Cricetulus griseus: one gene and its partners. The protein of the gene in region 4 interacts with the protein of the main gene of each other region in a pairwise test. Links are inferred from orthologs where the notes say so. Each region holds a gene or a part of one and is shown on either strand. Other genes may lie near its edges. The genes, in order: Trim23, Pnma1, Golga2, Gpank1 and Ccdc184.

Region 1 (3,517 bases), on a different chromosome or scaffold from region 4:
AACAATAGCTCAGATTAGGAACTGATAATAATCAATAAGGGCAGTTTTCTTCTAGAAGAGGGAATTACAAATGATCTTTTATATTTTTCTCAAATGTTTGTAATACATAGAATGTATAGTACTATATTATGTATATATATATCGTATATATAGTATATACTGTATGTATACAGTATAATATGTAGTATACACACACACACACACACACACACACACACACACACACACACACACACGCATAGACTATTTCTATGATACAAATACAAGCAGATCTTTAAAAACCTGGAAGCTAGTAATCAAGTCACTAGCATATTCCACAGACAAAGCACAGTCATAGTCATAGTCACTACAATCTTTATTCAAGTCAGAGATGGGATCACTAATGTTGGTATGACAGGAGTTGATTCCAACCTCTGATGTGACTAACTGCTCCCTGTCATAACTTCTGCTTTCAACACTAAGTGTAGCAACCCCCACACTGTGGTATTGCAGAAAAAGTAGAGGGTTCTCCCAAACAGTGGAAAAGGTTCTAGCCTACATTTGCAAAATGTTACCATTTCTACACATCTAGTTGTATATGAAGAAAGGATAATTTCTTTTTGTTTTACAGAATGAAAAGTCAACTAAATGAAAGTCAACTAAATGAACCTTTAAAACAGAGACATCTCTTCCATTACTATTATTTTGTGGTTTATAGTAGGTTAATGCTATCTATATAATGTCATTAGTGCCTTGCATTAGTTTCCTGGAGAATATACATAATACTTATTTATATGAGAACAGCCAAAATCAAAGACAACATGTTAAAGCCATATTTCCTAGCATTTGAAAGCCTAAATATAGAGACAGCTTTGCTTCCTTTTATGGGTAGCTAAATTATTTAATTTTAACATATAGTGTGACTATATTTGTCATTTATTACATTTATGTTATCTTCTGTGTAGGGGTGTACGTACACACATATATGGAAGGGTGCCACCACACAAGTGTGGAGTTGAGAGAATAACTTGCAGGAGTCAGTTAACTCCTCCCACCAGCCCTGGCCTTAAGTAGTGCTAAAGACCTTAAAAAAAAAAAAAAAAAAATCAGCCTTAAAAATTATTTTGGAAAAAATTCTTTTATCTTACAGAGTAAATTAAGAACTTATATTAAATTGTGAAATAATTTTTCACATGCTAATGTTCTACTTTCTAGATCTAGGCCCCTGAGATAGATTCTTTGATAAAGACACTTGCTGCAAGCCTGATCACCTGTTTTGGACACAGACACACACAAATAGATGTAATATTTTTAATTTTTAAAATCTGTGAATAGTGATTCTGAAGTAGTTTTAGAAGTATGAAAGGACCTATCTGGCATAGTGGCACACACCTTTAATCCCAGGACTGAACTGGGGAACTAAAAGCAGGCAGATCTTTAAGTTCAAGGCCAGTCTGGTCTACAAAGCAAGTTCCAAGACAGCCAGGGCTACACAGAGAAACCCTGTTTCAAAAAGAAAGAAAGGAAGGAAGGAAAGAAGGAAGGAAGGAAGGAAGGAAGGAAGGAAGGAAGGAAGGAAGGAAGGATGGAAGGAAGGAAGGGAGTTAGTTGAAACTGAGACTCAAATGACTTAATATATATTTTGACTACCTGCTTGTTCATTTAAAAAAAAAAAGTTATTGGATTGATGGCTTTAGGCAAAGGGTTTAATCTGTGATGAATACAGTATTCTCATTTCTTTGAATTAGGGTAGTACTTAAGTTCTCAGCATTAAGTATTGAATATAAGTCTCAGATTTCCACTGGTAATTAAGAGTGAGCTAGCTTAACAGAATCCCATTGACCTTAACAGAAACTCAAAATTCTAAAAGCTCTTGGAACTTAACCTAAAAAATCAAGTGTAAAGAAATTGTTTTCTCCGTCATTTGTGTTACACGAATAATTTTCCTACCTAGGTCTGTTACTTGTCGATCAAATGGGCAACGTATTGCTCTTCCATGCAGAGGCAAGCGAGTGAGACAGTCATGACAGACTGTGTGACCACAAAGGAGGAGGCGAGGAACTTTATCCCCTTGCAAAGAGAAGACATCTTCACAAACCCCACACTCCAGAACCTAGTATTGGAAACAGAAACATGTGTCTATAAACACTATTAAAACAATATTCTAGTATTTTAGATTTAAAAAGAATTGACCTAGTTAATATACTTACTCAATCTTATTACTTAATTCCTCCATGGGGGGGGACTAAATTATGAAACCTTAAATCACATTTTTATTCATTTCCATTTGACAGACCTTGTCAAAGTGAAACCTCCTTGAAATACTCTTATGTTGCAAATTAATATAAGAAACATAATCTAATCTCCTGAAAACTGAACATGTAGCAATTTATAATTCTACTGAAACCCCCATCAACAATCATTCACTTTGCTTTTCCTTTTTTAAAAAAAGTTTTGAGATTTATTTTTGTGTATGGATGTTTGCCTGAATATATGTCTGCGCACCTTGTTGGTATAGTGCCCACAGAAGTCAGAAGAGAGTATAAGATTCCCTGGAGCTAGAGTAACAGATGGTTGTGAGCCACCATGTGGGTACTGAAAAATCAAACCAGATCCTCTGAAACAGCAGTCAGTATTCTCAACAGATTAGTCATCTCTCTAAACCCTGGTTTATTTCCTTGTTAGATGACATTTCACTGAGCAGCTCTGAATGGACCTCAGTCCAGGCTGGCCTCAAATATACAGTGATCCTCCTGCCTCTGCCTCCCAAATGCTAGATTATGGGATGTATCATTATGTCCAGTTAAAACACCATTGACTTTAAAAAAAAAAAAAAAATCTAGGGCTGGAGAGATGGCTCAGTGGTTAAGAGCACTGACTGTTCTTCCAGAGGTCCTGAGTTCAATTCCCAGCACCCACATGGTGGCTCACAACCATCCATTATGAGATCCGGTGCCCTCTTATACTGTGCAGATAGACATGGAAGCAGAATGTTGTATACATAATAAATAAATAAAATCTTTAAAAAAAAATCTAAAATGTGTATTGGGATGACACTCAATTTTCTAAACTATAAAAAAATTTGTAAGAATGTCTCCAAGGAATATTCAATTATCTTCTAAACTTCACAAAATAATGTAAGGGCAAAAGCCAGATTAGCTGAAAATTAAATTTCAATTCCTATTCTTTATTAATAAGTAACTCTGGCTTGGAAAATATTTGACTATCTAGTTGTAATCACAGGTATATATACCAAATACTATATGTACCAAAAGGCACTCAAAAAAAAAAAAAGCTGTGAGAACTGACTCACTCTGAATCTCAGGTCCATGGGTTAATTATTTTATAAATAATCATAAACTGTAACTATCATAGCATACCATTTTCAGTGCCTTTACAACTAACTATTGTTTGTGTTGTTTTCAGTTTTAATTACTTTTTAAAAATATTCACAATGAATTATTCCATTGTCTCCCGATCAAGCCACACTACAGAATCCTATGGTCCAAGTGTGTCGCTGGATAGGACTCTTGCTTTA
Region 2 (4,277 bases), on a different chromosome or scaffold from region 4:
CCACAAGTTCAAGACTAGCCGGAGCTAGATAGTGAGACTGTATCTAAAAGAAATAGCTGGGTGAGGTGGCTCACACCTGTAACCCTAGCACTGTGGAGGCTGGAGGCAGGAGGATTGCTACAAGTTTGAGGCCAGCCTGGGCTACAGAGTGAATTCCAAGCCAGCCTCAGCTAGCTATCGAGTGGGACCGTGAAAAAGAAACAAAACAATAACCGAGGAACCGGCAACACAAGAATGTGTAGGTGATATTGCAATTTAAGCTCATAGCAAGGAGATTAAAAAATTTTTTGACATGAGCAAAAATGTGCAGAGAAAAAATGTGCAGAGCTAAGTTACACTGAAAATTTTTTATACATGTCAGGAAAAGCAAGATGAGAATTTTCACATTTTTATTTGTATACATCTATTTGATAACTTCAAATTTAGAACACTTAGCATCAACATGACCAATAATTAAATGACAAATAATTCATGTGGGGAAAATGTAGCTTGTTTATGGAAATTCCCCCTGACTTATATTTGTATCTTACACCATGAAAAGTAGGTTGTGCCTCTTCATAAAAATCACATTTTTCTAACTTGCCAATTTTAATCCTAGAGTACTTTGCTGGTAAACTGGTTCTGATGTTGAGCCGTGAGGAATGAGAAATCTGAATTTTCAAAATGAGCAGTATCATCTAACAGACTCATATTCTTCCCATGTATATAAATTAGGGACAATGTACAGTAAAACTATCCACAATATTAGTAACAAATGTCAGTCTGTACCATACAGCCTGTGAAGCAGGCTTGCACTTTCACAATCATCCTGACAGGAAGTGTCTCAGCTTCACATTTTTCACAACTGTCAAAGATGTCACTAGGAGGGCTTGCATCAAGCATTCATTTTAGGCAGTATGAACCACCTCTACTGTTGCAGCCCTGGCCAATCACGCAATTCTGTGACTGCTACACAAATACGCAGGCCTGACTCCCCTATCCCATCCCCCAGAAAACAAAACAAAAACAGGAGGCTAGGTCTTTACTATGAGAGGCAAGGCTTGTAAAACCGCACAGGGATAACAAAAGCAGCCAGACTGATCCAGGGACTCAGAAGTGCCCCTCCAGGCCTAGCTGCAAAAGGGCTGCCTCAGCTTCCTCTTCCTCCTCCTTGGCTTCCTCCTCTCGAATCTGCACCAGCAACTGGAAGAGGTTGGGTGCCGGTCGTTCCGCAGCCCCAGTCAGCCACAATTGCCTTCGGATGGCCCCACTGTGGTTGGCCCCGGCGATGACCTGCTCCAGGCGAGCCTGGTTCACGTTATCTTTATCAATGGCCCCCTTTTCCACTACCTTTTGTAGCAGAGGCTCCAGACGAATGACGTAAGATGACAACTTTTCCCCGGGGTTCTGGTAAGTGTTCAGAAATCTGACCTGTGTATCTCTAGAGCTCTCCACGCTCCCAAACACCTGCTCAAGAGCCTTCAGGCATTCCGCGGTGGTTATGGCTGGGTTGTTGGTCTTGAGGATGCGAATGACATCAGCAGCAGGGCCTCTCAAACTCTCCATCAACCGCCGTCTCTTTTCTATATCAGACACCTGCCATTCTTCTATGACCTCATTCGAGTGCTCCAGCCAGGAATCAAAGGTCTCCTCGCCAGGCCCGGGAATGTCCCTCCCAGAGAATAGCGTCAGCTTCTTATACCATATGGACTCAACAAGAGGTTGAATAACATTATCCAAAATATAATTGAGCATCTCTGCTGGCATTTCTGGGCCTGGAGCGGGAGCAGGGTTCTGAAACCCAAGCACACGAGCAACATCTTGCACAGTCCACCCTTCCCTAGCTAGAAAGAGGTGCAGCCTCTCCAGAAACTCCGCATCAGAAGTGGGGGGCTTAAAGAACACTTTCCAGAGCCCTCCTTTGCCTGGCATCTCTCTAGGGATCAGGGAGTAATCCACTTCCCCGGTGAGCTCTAACAAGGCTGCCTTCGCATTTTCTTCCCTCCAGAACATTCTCCCCAGTACTCGGTAGGGCACTTGGGGCATGGCAGCTTGGAGGGTCTCTTCGATTTCAGCCTCATCACAGTTCACAGGGATCCCCCAGACCAGCAGAGCTCTCTGAGAGTTCACATCCATTCCCCTGCACCAGTCTTCCAAGAGCGTCAAAGCCATTTCGCCCCACTATTAAGGGTGCCAGTTCTACAGACACCGACTGGACTGGCTCGCAGTGCTATAGGACCTAGGACAATACAACATGCCTCCCTCCCCCGGGTAGGCCAGGGGGCGACAAGCTTCAAGCAACCACAATTACCAGTGACACCGGAGTCCAGTCTCGTCCCTTCCGGGTCCCAAAGTCAGTAGTGTCAGGTGCCTCGGGGCACTCTGCCTATCGAATGTCGCCCTCTTTGGTCCGAGCAGGTGCGGGCTGGCCGCAGCTATTCGTGGCCTCACGGCGGGCAGGGGAGAAGCAAGGTTGGCGCAAGGCGGTGGGCTTCAGCTTCACGAGGGAGACGGCCGGGTGCGGTCGCGGGGTGTGGCAGCTCCCCCCCGCCGCTCTCGGGCCGGCCGGCCGGCGGTAGGCGCGGGCGTAGGGTCACGCGAGGCAGTGGCTGGGAAGACGCCGGGAGAGGCGGTACTCGGGTCCGGCGGCTGCGGCAGCAGGCGAGCACCGGGGACGGAGGCCTCAGGGAGGCGCGGAAGGCGGGAGGCCGGATGGAGGCAGCTCCGCTCAGCGTCTAGAGCAGCGCGCTCCCGCAACGGCCGCCGCCGTGCAGCTGCAGTGCAGGGCGGGGCCGGTCCGCTCGTCAGTGTCGCCGTGGCAACCGTATCCATGACGACGGGAGATGCGCGAGCTCCAGAGGATCTGGCGGTTGCTATGGTACCGAGGGGTTGAGGAGTCTATTTTGTGATGGCGCGCGCGCGCGCGCACACACACACACACGTATTTCCCAGCTTCTTTCTTAACAATAAATATTGCAAAGCATCGTTTTCTTTTTTTCTTAATCTAATTTTGCTGTGAATTTAAGTTGGCCTTATTGATACGCATCCACCACGACAGACTTGTCTGTCTCATGTTGCTCATCCAGCTTATGCATTCACTATGCAGCCCATGAAAACACTCAGCACTCTGACTTCTGCGTACCTCCTGACCACACACCACAGCTGCTGCTTGCTCCTCCCCAGGAAAGCAAAAGACAGAATGCCATCTCCAGGTTCCTGTGAGACTTACTATGCTTTCTTGCCTAAATTTTGTATATATATATATAAAAAAAACCAACAAAATGCTGCTGCTGCTACTTCTTTGTAGCCAGGCAAACTGCAAACACTTTCATTTCTTGATCTTACTGAGTATACAGGATAACAAAAGAGAATGCTTAAGGCTCAGAAAGGTAGGGTAAATTCTCTTCAAGCAAGGCCTGTCAATCCCAGCTGGCAAAAACATCCCTATAAATCAGGCGGGCCTTGGTGGCCCATGCCGTTAATCCCAGCACTCGGGAGGCAGAGGCAGGAGGAGCTTTGTGAGTTCAAGGCAAACCTGATCTATAAATTGAGTTCCCGGCCAGGCTCCAAAACTACACAGAGAAACCCTGCCTCAAAAAATCAAATAAATAAATAAACACACAAACCCCACCCCTATAAAGATATGGCATTGGGGGCTGGATAGAAGGCTCACTGGTTAGGAGCATTGGCTGCTATTCCAAAGGACCTGGGTTCAATTCCCCGAACCCACATGGCAGCTCACACCTGTCGGTAACCCCAGTTCCCAAAGATCTAACAACCTCACACTGATACACATGCAGACACAGAACACAAATGCAAATAAAATAAAAATAAACAAATCGTTACAAAAAAAAGAATATGGCGCCGGGCATTGGTGGCAAACTCCTTTAATCCCAGCACTCGGGAGGCAGAGGCAGGCGGATCTCTGTGAGTTCAAGGCCAGCCTGGTCTTCAGAGCAAGTTCCAGAACAACCTCCAAAACAATACAGAGAAAACGTGTCTCAAAAAAAAAAAAAAAAAAAAAAGGAAAGAAAAGAAAAAGAAAAACCAAGAATATGGCATTCAACAGTGAATTTTTTAAAATTTTTATTTAATAAAAGGTCTTAAGATACAGAACATTCAAAAGTAAATAAGTTACATAGGTACATTACAATCACAGCAAGATTCTCTTTAGTGTATTAATTTTTTTATAAAAAGCACACAAAAAATAAAATTTTCAGTCTGGTCTATCACAACTGTACAGCAAAAGAGGTAATATTTATATATATGTACACTATTTAATATGTAACAGTCTTTTT
Region 3 (3,517 bases), on a different chromosome or scaffold from region 4:
ATGAGGAAACTCATCTTTTAAGATCAGTAATCAGGTTTGGTGATAGGAAGCATGTGAACAAATGGATGTGAATCCAGCCTGAACCCAGAGCCTTGTATAACCTCTAACTATAAAGACTCACCTTCTGGTCTTGACCCAGACGAAGAGCAGTCCAGGGATAACCATCTCTAATACAACAGTCATAGGCTGACTTGCAAGCCTGCTCCCAGGCTGCAGCTAATCTGTGATGGGCCTTGCATTTCCCCTCTCCAAATCCAGTGGCTGGCACCACATGCAGTAGGTCTTACCGTCTCCTTCAGCTCCCCCAGCCTCTCCTGCAGCTCTCCCAGCTTCTTGGCCAGCTCTTTCTTGACATGCTGCTCTGACTGCAGTGCACTGGTGATCTCCATGTTCTCGTTGGTCTGGACAGAAAGCAGCCGTCAGTAGGACCTAAAGTGGCTAGGGTGCCCAGACCTGCATATGCACCTCCTCCCACAGAGCAAGGAAGGCTTCTGGATCATTCCTACAAGCCCCAGAGCTCTGGCTTGCTGGGTGCCCACACCACTACCATTTCATGTGAGGTGGACAGCACCCCATCCCTTGGGTAAGGAGGCCTGCAGGCTGCGCACGCACCAGCCTGACGAAGCCGTTTTGCAGCTCAGCCAACTGCTCCTTTAGCTCGCGGTTCTGTGACAGCGCTCTGCTGATGGTGGTGCGGTCACTCTGCATGCTCTCCAGGATCTGCTTGCGCTCCTCAGTCTGCTCACTCCAGCGCTCTGCTGCCCGCTCCAGCTCCAGCAGCCGCTCCTCCTGCTCCCGGTTCAGGTGGCTCAGGCTCTCATTATCCTGCACCTGGGCCCTCAGCTGTTCTGTCAGATTCTCCAGTTCCTTCTGCAGTTGTTCAACCTCTCCCTGCAGCCGCTGTTCCACCTCAGAGGGTCCAGCTGGGGGCGGTGGGGGTGGCGGCTCCTCTAAGAAAGGAAGCAGGCAGTGAGGGGAACCGCCCTTGGCTTCTCAGATAGGCTCCATTGTGAGCTCAAGTCAGGCCCCCTGCCCCAAGCCTTGGCTTCTTGTCTGTCAGGGTCTGAGAGGAGGTAAGCATTTCAAACCAGTCTAGTACAGTTAAGTGATACTAAGTCACCTGCAGGGGGTAGCAGTAGCCATGGCACCCTGCTTTGCACAGAGGGACACATGCTCAGAGGGATGACAAGATTTGCTACCTCCTGGCAGAGACCCCTTGCCCTCTGCTACAATGCCCTTGCACCCACCTGCCACCCCAAGGCAATGGAAGCCACCTTAATGGCCTTTGGACCCACTCCTGCTCTCAGGTCACTCTTGCCCTACTCACCCATCTGACTTCTGAGTTCGGCCAAGCTGGTCTCCAGCTCTTGTACCTGACTTTCTCTGTGTTCCTTCTCCTCCTTCAGAGTGTGCACCTGCCCAAAGGCAGAGGGAAAGAGCTGGGGATCCCGGGCACCATCCATTCCCAGTCCCACCTCCATAAAACTGAAGCCCCTAACCCCTCAGCTGCGCCCCACTGATGCTCAGGAAGAGCAAAGACACCAGGGGCCAGGCCTCACCTGCTCTGCCATTTGCTGTACCCTCTGCTGCCACATGGCACTTTCTCCTTTCAGGTTTTCTGCATACTGGTCTCTCTCCATCTGGAGCTGTTTCAGAGACTCCATCAACTGCATCAGTCAACACACAAGTTACAAAGGGCTATCACTGGTTCTCACCGGCCCTTGGCCACCTGGGGTCATGCCATCCTCTCCCCCAACACATCCTCCTCACCTGGCCTACATGGGTCTCCAGCTGAGCCCGCTCCTCCATGGCATGTTGTAACTGCTGGTTACTATCAGAGGCCTCAGATTGGCTTGAGAACTGTAAAAGGAAAATGAAGGTTTCATCCACCACAGTGCTTCCCACAAGAGTGAGCCAGATTAATGGATAACTCATATGAGAAGCTCAGATGCCATGTGAGAAAAGTGCCAGGAGGTGGTGAACAGCCTCTTGCGTGTGTCATTTAAATGAAGCAGAATGATGGCTTTTCAGCTAGGCACAGTGGGTCACACCTGCAACCTCAGCACTTGGAAGGCTAAGGTAGAAAGATTACCATGAGTTCAAGACTAGTCTGGTTGCCTAGTGAGTTACAGGTCAACCTGGCTACTGATAAGACTTTGTCTCAAAATCAATCAATAAATAAAGTAACAAAAAAGATGGTTTTTCAACCAGGATAAATCAAAAAAGAAAACTTTAACAGCCATATCACAACCACTAAGATTATGACTATATAGGTCAGGTCTACAGCAGGACCAGGAGGAGGCTTCAAACTCTCCAGTGCTTGGCTACAGGTCACCACCAAGGATGCTGAGACTGTGTGCCTGGGCCTTAGGGGTATGAGCTGCACCTCTCACCTGCTGCAGCAGCAGCTCCGACATTTCCAGCTTCTTCTGCAGGTCCTCCACCCCTGACTGTGCAGCTGCTTTCTCTGCCACTAAGACTCGAAGTTTCTCTTCCAGTTCTGAGTTCTGCTGCTTCAGGTCCTCATTATTTTTGCTATGGCCAGAGGTAATGCAGAAAAGAAAGAACCAAGAACAGAAAGGACCACATTTTAGAGCAACTTATGAGCCTTGCTACAAAGTCACAGACACAAGTGACAGATCATACCATGAGTCACAAGTATGGCTGGGACTAGCGCATAGATCTACACAAGGCTAAACCTGTCTCCTCTGAGCCTCAATTTCCCACACTAAAGCTGCAGGAAGCCCAACCTCCTTCCCATTCTTACTTGTTCTTGTACAGCTCCAGCTTGAGGGCATCTCGCTCTTTGGTTAGGTCCTTGTTGTACTACAGATAAAGAGAGCTGAGTCTGGACCTGGCAGGCTAAAGAAACAGCTGGCACAACACCAACGGCCCCAGTGATTTCACAGTGACATCTCTTTTTCCCAACCACACTGATGTTTCCCAAGGCTTTTCTAAGCCTGTGGTCTTAGGTTTCTGTGTGTCTGTTTGGTTTTTCTAGACAGGGTTTCTCTGTGTAGCCCTGGATGTCCCTCTCTAGTCCAGGCTGGCTTTAAACTCAGAGATCTGCCTGAGTCTGCCTCCAGTGTGCACCATGACTGCCTGACTTTGTTTTGTTTTTAAGGTGGGGTCACACTATGTTATCATAGCTGGCTTCAACCTCCTGTGCTTAGATGATCTTCCTAATGCAGCCTGGGAGACCAAAAGTCCACACCATCAGTCATAGCCTTCAGGGTTGGTTTTTTTGTTTTGCTTTGTTTTTTGAGATAGGGTTTCTCTGTGTAACTTCAGAGCCTGTCCTCGAACTAGCTCTTGTAGACCAGGCTGGTCTCAAGCTCACAGAGATCTGCCTGCCTCTGCTTCCCAAGTGCTGGGATTAAAGGCGTGCGCCACCACCGTCTGGTGTTTGTTTTTTGGTTTTGTTTAATATTTTTAAAATGTTGTTTATTATATGTGTATTGTTGTTTTGCCTACACATATGTCTAATCACCACAAGCATAAATTATGGATAGTTGTG
Region 4 (4,295 bases):
GGAAGCCAAGGCTGTTCAGGCACCTGGTGGAGCAGGGTGGCACACTTCATGCCTTACTTCTAATTTTAGCATCATCTTTTTGCTTTTTTCCGAGACAGGGTTTCTCTGTGTAGCTTTGGAGCCTATCCTGGCACTTGCTCTGTAGACCAGGCTGGCCTCAAACTCACAGAGACCCGCCTGCCTCTACCTCCCGAGTGCTGGGATTAAAGGCATGCGCCACCAACGCCCGGCTTAGCATCATTTTTGTTTTATCTTGCGTTGGATAGGCACCCCGGGGTCTTCGAAGTGTTAGCCAAGTGTTCCACTGCCAAGCTATACCAGCCCCTCTCCATCTGTGCAGAGGGACCATTTGGGATACCGTGAGGTGGACCTCAGCTCTTAGGAATAATGAGTAGAGCTAAAGCTTATTTTTTTTTTTTTTTTGCGGGGGAGGTTGAGACAGGGTTTCTCTGTAGCTTTGGAGGCTGTCCTGGAACTCACTCTGTAGACCAGGCTGGTCTTGAACTCAACAGAGATCCGCCTGCCTCTGCCTGCCGAGTGCTGGGACTAAAGGCGTGCGCCATCACCGTGTGGCGAGCTGATGCTTATGACCACACTATGTGACAGCCACTGTTCCATCACTTTCCACATTAACCTGCTGCATCTTAACGACTGCGAGACAGGTGCTTATCCCCACTTCTCAGACAAGGAGAGGTTTACAGACATTAGGCTGACGTTGCAAGAAAACGAAGCCAAGATTTAGTGAGCAAAGACCATGGCCATTGTCGCTCTGTGACAGGAACTAGCTACACTGGAGGATGAAGAGCCCCCGAATGGGGTGTCCAGGAAAGGCAGAACACAATAAAGGTGGGTATGAGCTAGCGCTCCCTCCTCACCGGCTCTGGTTCTCGGGGCTCCTTGTCTCTCCACGGCTCTCTCTGACCATGCGGGCCACCTCAGGGAAGCCCGCTTCTTCGGCCAGCTGAGCAGCATCTCTGCCTCCCAGCTCACAGACTCCTACCCAGGCAGCACCCCGGTCCAGAAGATAGCACACGGCAGCCGCTTGGCCTGCTCTGGCGGCGCACATCAGGGGAGTCCACCAGAAGGCATCGCGTGCATTGATGTTCCCTCCAGCTCCCCCTGCCTCCCGGGGTTCCAGCAGCCTTCGAAGTTCTGTCAGATCCCCGTTCTGGGCTGCCAGCAGGATCCACTGGGTCATCCTGTCGTCATCCTCTGGTGGCAGTGGCCTTCCTTGCCCCGAGGCTCCTGCTGCCACCGCCGCAGCCTCCCTGGTCCCTCTCCTTTTCCTCCTCTTTTGTCCTCTGACAGGGCCAGCTCTCTGGGGCTTAGGGGAGCTACTCTCATCTGCAATTAGAGCCTCGTAGAAAGCCCGGGCTGCGGCCCCATCCAGGACTGGCCCTGGCTTCTCAGGCTGTGGTTGCTGCTGCCCATCTTTCCAGAGGTCGCTGGAGTCGGTGGCTGGAGTAAATGCGATGAGGGACGGCCTGGACATGGCTTTGGGGAGAAACGAGGAAAGAAGGCTGGGAAAGGCTGTGATGAACACTCCAACCCGATGTAATGACCAGCACCACCCCCAGGGCCTGCTGGGATGAGAAAGCCGCCTAGAACTAAAACAGACCTCTCACTCCCCGACCCTAGGATCTTGTAGACCCCTGGAATGGCAGATGCTGAACAGATGTTAATTAAGTATCATGAGGGCATGGTAGATTAGGTTCTTTGTAGAATGCTCGCCTCGAATTTGGGAGGTCTGGGTTCTATCTCTACAACAGGAAAGAAAAAAAAAATGATAATAGGAAAGAATGTTCCCCCAGGCACTTGTCTAGGGGCCCTGCGTTCTACTCCCTTCTCCCTTCAAACAAAAACAGCAGGCTGTCTCTGAAAACCTTTTCCCACCCTGTAACACATACCGTTAGGGAATATCGGCCGGGACTTTTAAATCTTGCTCGATCTTACGTGGGGCTGGGGGGGGGTGTCTCCTTTTCCCAAAGAAAAACAGGCGTGACATCATTCCAGAAGGTGTCGGGGTAAAAGCGTTGCACTGTCACTTCCGTACCGAAAAATGGCGCTCTCGTCATCTGCAAGAGTTGACACAATCCGACACCCACCTGGCACAGAGACGCATGCGCAGCAGCCAACCACAACAAAACACCCACAAGGTTCAGTTTCCCGCGCTGGAACCTTCCCAAGCATCCGCGTCAGGCATCGCGTGCCCAGACAGCGCGAGGGCCCAGGGGGACCTGTCGGTTGGGGTCCTACTTTTACATAACGCCCCCACAATGCTCTTCGCCACCCTCGACGTGGTCCCTCCCGCTCCAAGCCCCTCTTGTGGAGCCGGGAGGCCTGAGGACGCCAGGGAGCCGCGGGATGCCGGGCAGCCGCGAGACGCGCTAACACCACGGCGCCCCTCACCGCTACTCCGAGCAGGGCTCGAAGAGCAAGCAGCTCACGTGGGGTCCGCAGCAGCAGCAGCAGCAGCAACAGCAGCAGCAGCAGCAAGCAGCAGCAACACATGGAGAAGTGCAAAGGGATGAGCGGCAGAATGGCAGGCGCCACCTCAGGTTAGCGCGCGGGGCGGTGCAGCAGGTCCCCCGCCCCCGCCGCCCGGCTCGGCAGCCCAAGCCCTGCGACCTCAGCCCCGCACTCCGAGCCGCACCTCCGGGCCGCATGCCTGGTCCTCGGCGACGGTGTCAGTCCCCGGGGCGGCAGGGACGACCGGAGCGGGACGGAGCGGGCGCGCAGCGGGGACCTCAGCGGCCGCCGGCGCCGGCTCGCAGCCTGCCGAGCCCAAAGCGCGTAGGACTATATTTCCCAGGCTTCCCGGTCGGGAAGGCGGCTGTAACCTGGCTTCCGCTTCCGGTGGAGGCTCGGCTCGCCCCGCCCCCAGGCGGCTTCCGCTAGGGCCTCGCGACCCCGGAGTCATGCGCGCGGACTCTTGGGATTGGTGGTTCGCCGTCCCCGCATCGCGTCACTTTCTGCCTCTCTACGGGACTCCATTTCCCGGCGTCCCTAGGGGCAGGGGCGGTCCTCGGCGCCTGCGCGTTGCCCTCTCTCCCTCCCCACCCTCCCCAGTTCCCCTTCCCCCCTCCCCACTTCGCCTGCCGCGGTCCGCTCGGCTTCCTGCGCTGTAGCGGTCGCTGCGGTTCCTTCGAAGCTCGGCTCCCCTTCCCCGCCCCAGTCCCAGTCCCCGTCCGGCCGGTGAGTCTGCGCTCGTCCCCGCGCCGCGGCGCCGGGCTCCGCGCTCCGAGATGTGGGGGCGAGGAAGGAAGGGACCGGGTCGGCGGCCGAAGGAGGCCGGGTGGCCTGAGGAGAGGAGCGGCTGTGGGGACGCTCGTGGGTCCCGCGGGGGTGCGGGGCTCCCGCCGGCGCCGCGAGGCCCCGAGAGGCGGGCTCGGGGGGGAGGATGGACTCGGGAAGCCTCGGGACGGGCGCCAGGCGAGTGCCTCGGTGGGGCCGCGCGGGCCGCGCGCGGCCGGGGGCCGGGGGGCCGGGGGGCCGGGGCCTGGCCTCGCGCCGGGCAACACCCACAGATCGGGACCTGTCACCCCCTGGGAAGGAGTGGAGCTGGTTCTCACCACGCTGTCGGGGGGCTGAGGTAAAGAAGAGAGGCGTGGAGAGCGGTGCTTCACGGGCCGGGGCCACTCAACGCCAGTGGCCTCGGATTCCTCCGCCGTTGAGGAGACCGTGTGTGTGGGAGGAGGGAAGAGACCAAGAAACAGCCTGGTCTCCACTTAACGCCCTTCTTCCTCAGCCGACGTAAAGATGAGTAGCTCTGAGGAGGTTTCCTGGATTTCCTGGTTCTGTGGGCTCCGTGGTAATGAGTTCTTCTGTGAGGTGAGTTTAGCTGGCTTTCTGGGCCCTCTCCACGTGCCCTCGGTGTTTTCGTTGTATGTTGTCTGAGATGAGATTTCCCCCGAAGCTGACTGTGTAGCCCAGACTGTCCTTGAACTCCTGGCAATCCTAGTGCCTCAGTCTCCTGAGCGCTGGGGTTCACTCTGTGCATGGCTAACAGAGGTATCGCTGGTGACCGTCAGGAAAGTTAAAATGTTTCATGTAACATGAAAACCACAGTGTGGTAACGTAGGAAATGATCAATGCCTGTGAGAGTCTGATGTCCCAGAGCAGAGAGCAAACCCGGGTCCTTTAGAGGAGGGAGACAAGTTGAATAATGCGCTGTACCTTGTTGGCCCGGAAAGAAGAGAGCTGCGGTTTCTGTGGGAGACGGAACACCTCTGCAGAAGTGAGAATAGGAAACAAGGGGAGCCGATGCGGTCGTTTGTCTCCTGGGCCAGGTGAAA
Region 5 (2,271 bases), on a different chromosome or scaffold from region 4:
ACAGCCGCAGAGATCTGTGAGGGGAGAGGCTTCTGCAGAGCACTCTATGTCTTGGATTTCAGCAAAAGGGTGAAATTCCTGTTACCAGAACAGAATATACCCCAATTCCTTAATTTCTAGGTAAATAGAGATTATTTGCCAAAGTCCTAGATGAGTCCTTGTTCAGAATAGAAAAAGAATTTTATTTACATAATTCAATGGTCCTCCTGTTTCCTGGGAAGAAGGGAAAGGGCAAGGTAAGGGGATGGATGGGAGTCCCAGAGATGGGCACTTCCTCTCCGGGAACCTCACCTTTCTGCAGTTTTGCTATGATGCGTGATTGGGTGGAATTCAAGATGCCTCCAAAGTCCTTCACCCTACAAATCCTTATGTGAGGGAGTCTCTCTCCCTGACCTATAAGAACCACGTTAGGAGTGAAGCACATTGCACCGCACTGTTCAATCCCCTGGCATTAAGCGCTTGGAAACCCAAAGCCCAGGTAGTTGGTGCCCTGGTGGGGTTTCCCCTTACAGAGAAACCTCGCCCTCCAGCTGCAGCAGGGTAATGTCAGGCAGGTCGAGGGGCTCCACAAGTGGCCCATCCTCCCCAAGGAGACCAGCACAGGGGCTCTCAGAGCGCTCACGGTGACTGGTGGGTGTGGCGGGGCTGGGCATCGCTTTCTCCTCCTCTTCATCCTCCTCCTCCTCTGGATCGCGACCCAGCAAGCCCCCGTCCCCGATCCCAATCGAAGGTGTCTCTGGCTCGTGGGGAACACTCGGGAAGCTCCCCTTGCCTGCAGCCACGCCCAAGCCTCCCTGGCGGGGCGCGGTGGTCATAATCTGGCACATAGAGACTATGGCCCTCTGGTTGGCGCACACGTCGTCCGACAAAACCTGGATGTGCGAGGCCTGCTCGTCCAGCGCCCCTCGCATAGCCCTCACGTCCTCAAACAGGGCCTGCAGCTGGGCCTTCAGGTGCTCCATCAGTTCCTTCATGCCGCCGTTATACTCCCCAGAGATCACGTCCCCCACGGCTGGCACTGTGGACACCTCCAAAGGTGCCGGCATGTCTCCACCGTCCTTGGTCATGATCTCCAGCAGACTGTCCTCCATTGAGTGTCAGAAGCCGGCTGTGGCAGCTCTGGGTCGCTTCCAGCCGGGCCTCCAGGGTGGGGGAAGGATGTGGAGGGGAAGAGGTCCCGAGAGGGACAGGATGGTGCCCAGGGACACCTAGTCTCCCTAGAGGGACGGGTAGCCGACGTGAAAAGGGCAGTCCCAGGCAGAGGGCGCCGGCAGGATCAAGGAAGACAGACAAGAGTCCACACAACGAAGACCCGTCTAGGATCCTGAAGCCAGCGTCTTCGGGCTTGCCCAGGGACAAAAGTGCAATGCCAGCTAGCCTCCGGGGTTGGTGCCTGTGTCCCAGCCGCCCTCCTGGCAACCACCGTCAGAGTGCCTGCAGGCTCTCCGGGTCACAGAGGCGCTCGCAGAGAGGTCAGGGTCAAGACGGGAACCTGCAGCGCGTCGTTCTGGGGACTTCCCCCCGCACCCGGGCTATCCACCAACAGAGCCCGCGAGTGCGGCTGGAGCGGCAGGGGCGGGTCTCCCGGCAGCGCCGCGGATGCTCCCCCGTTTCCAAGGCGACGCACGGCACGTAAATGACGTGTGTCTCCATGGCAACGAGGAAGTGGAGAAGAAAGGGAACGCGGTTCCAGAAGCTGCAGTGGAGCTCTCTTGTATGGGCTGACGGGCGGACGGGGCGGGGACGCTGCAGTGGCCTCAGAGAAACTGCAAAGAGAGTGTGGCTGCAATGTTTAATAGGACAGCATGAGAGAGCAGTTTGCTGCACGTCCCCACCCCCACCCCCAAGCCCGAGAGAGACGTCCGCCTAGGAGGGCTTTTCACCAGCTCTGTGCATTCCTTCCTTGGAGAATAGCACGAGAGTCAGACCCTGCCCTTGTCCTCCAGCGGTCGGTGGGACTGGGTAGAGAGGAGATTGTTAATAATCCCAGGGGAGCTTGCCGTGCCAGGCCTGGCGATGGTGCGGAGGGAGGACGAGGGCACGACCGATTTCTGCCTCTTCCTTCTGCTGCACAAACCCGTTCCCTCGCTCCAGAAAACACAGGGTGAGATGCTGTCCCTTTTGGGACCCAACTGCTTCTACCCAGGTTGCTGTGAGTTTATGAGAATGGTGAAGCTAACTAAGTACTTAAATTGTGAGAATGAAAACTCCATAACAACAGATTTCCCTCCCCTGCACCCCGCATCACGGAATCCCCAGCGCTTAAAATAG

Evidence for each region.
Region 1: the proteins of Gpank1 (region 4) and Trim23 interact in binary tests that used the Homo sapiens proteins (3 or more experiments, as listed by UniProt). The link is inferred for Cricetulus griseus from reciprocal best matches to the Homo sapiens genes GPANK1 and TRIM23.
Region 2: the proteins of Gpank1 (region 4) and Pnma1 interact in binary tests that used the Homo sapiens proteins (3 or more experiments, as listed by UniProt). The two-hybrid records come from large-scale screens. The link is inferred for Cricetulus griseus from reciprocal best matches to the Homo sapiens genes GPANK1 and PNMA1.
Region 3: the proteins of Gpank1 (region 4) and Golga2 interact in binary tests that used the Homo sapiens proteins (3 or more experiments, as listed by UniProt). The two-hybrid records come from large-scale screens. The link is inferred for Cricetulus griseus from reciprocal best matches to the Homo sapiens genes GPANK1 and GOLGA2.
Region 5: the proteins of Gpank1 (region 4) and Ccdc184 interact in binary tests that used the Homo sapiens proteins (3 or more experiments, as listed by UniProt). The two-hybrid records come from large-scale screens. The link is inferred for Cricetulus griseus from reciprocal best matches to the Homo sapiens genes GPANK1 and CCDC184.

The regions. Positions count from the first base shown.
Region 1 is NC_048595.1:322,450,738-322,454,254, reverse strand, and holds part of Trim23 (E3 ubiquitin-protein ligase TRIM23), read right to left. Parts: intron 2,093-3,517; coding exon 1,930-2,092; intron 1-1,929.
Region 2 is NC_048598.1:119,613,428-119,617,704, reverse strand, and holds Pnma1 (paraneoplastic antigen Ma1), read right to left. Parts: upstream 2,818-4,277; 5' UTR 2,152-2,817; coding exon 1,090-2,151; 3' UTR 363-1,089; downstream 1-362.
Region 3 is NC_048599.1:144,035,860-144,039,376, reverse strand, and holds part of Golga2 (golgin subfamily A member 2), read right to left. Parts: intron 2,827-3,517; coding exon 2,768-2,826; intron 2,536-2,767; coding exon 2,394-2,535; intron 1,861-2,393; coding exon 1,771-1,860; intron 1,668-1,770; coding exon 1,560-1,667; intron 1,416-1,559; coding exon 1,328-1,415; intron 951-1,327; coding exon 613-950; intron 402-612; coding exon 288-401; intron 1-287. UniProt on the Homo sapiens protein: Peripheral membrane component of the cis-Golgi stack that acts as a membrane skeleton that maintains the structure of the Golgi apparatus, and as a vesicle thether that facilitates vesicle fusion to the Golgi membrane.
Region 4 is NW_023276806.1:231,644,526-231,648,820, reverse strand, and holds the start of Gpank1 (G patch domain and ankyrin repeat-containing protein 1), read right to left. Parts: upstream 2,812-4,295; 5' UTR 2,654-2,811; intron 2,076-2,653; 5' UTR 1,908-2,075; intron 1,761-1,907; exon of another isoform or gene 1,619-1,760; intron 1,495-1,618; 5' UTR 1,493-1,494; coding exon 876-1,492; intron 1-875. Other genes in the region: Csnk2b (casein kinase II subunit beta), read left to right, coding at 3,760-3,831.
Region 5 is NC_048595.1:394,652,670-394,654,940, reverse strand, and holds Ccdc184 (coiled-coil domain-containing protein 184), read right to left. Parts: upstream 1,092-2,271; coding exon 507-1,091; downstream 1-506.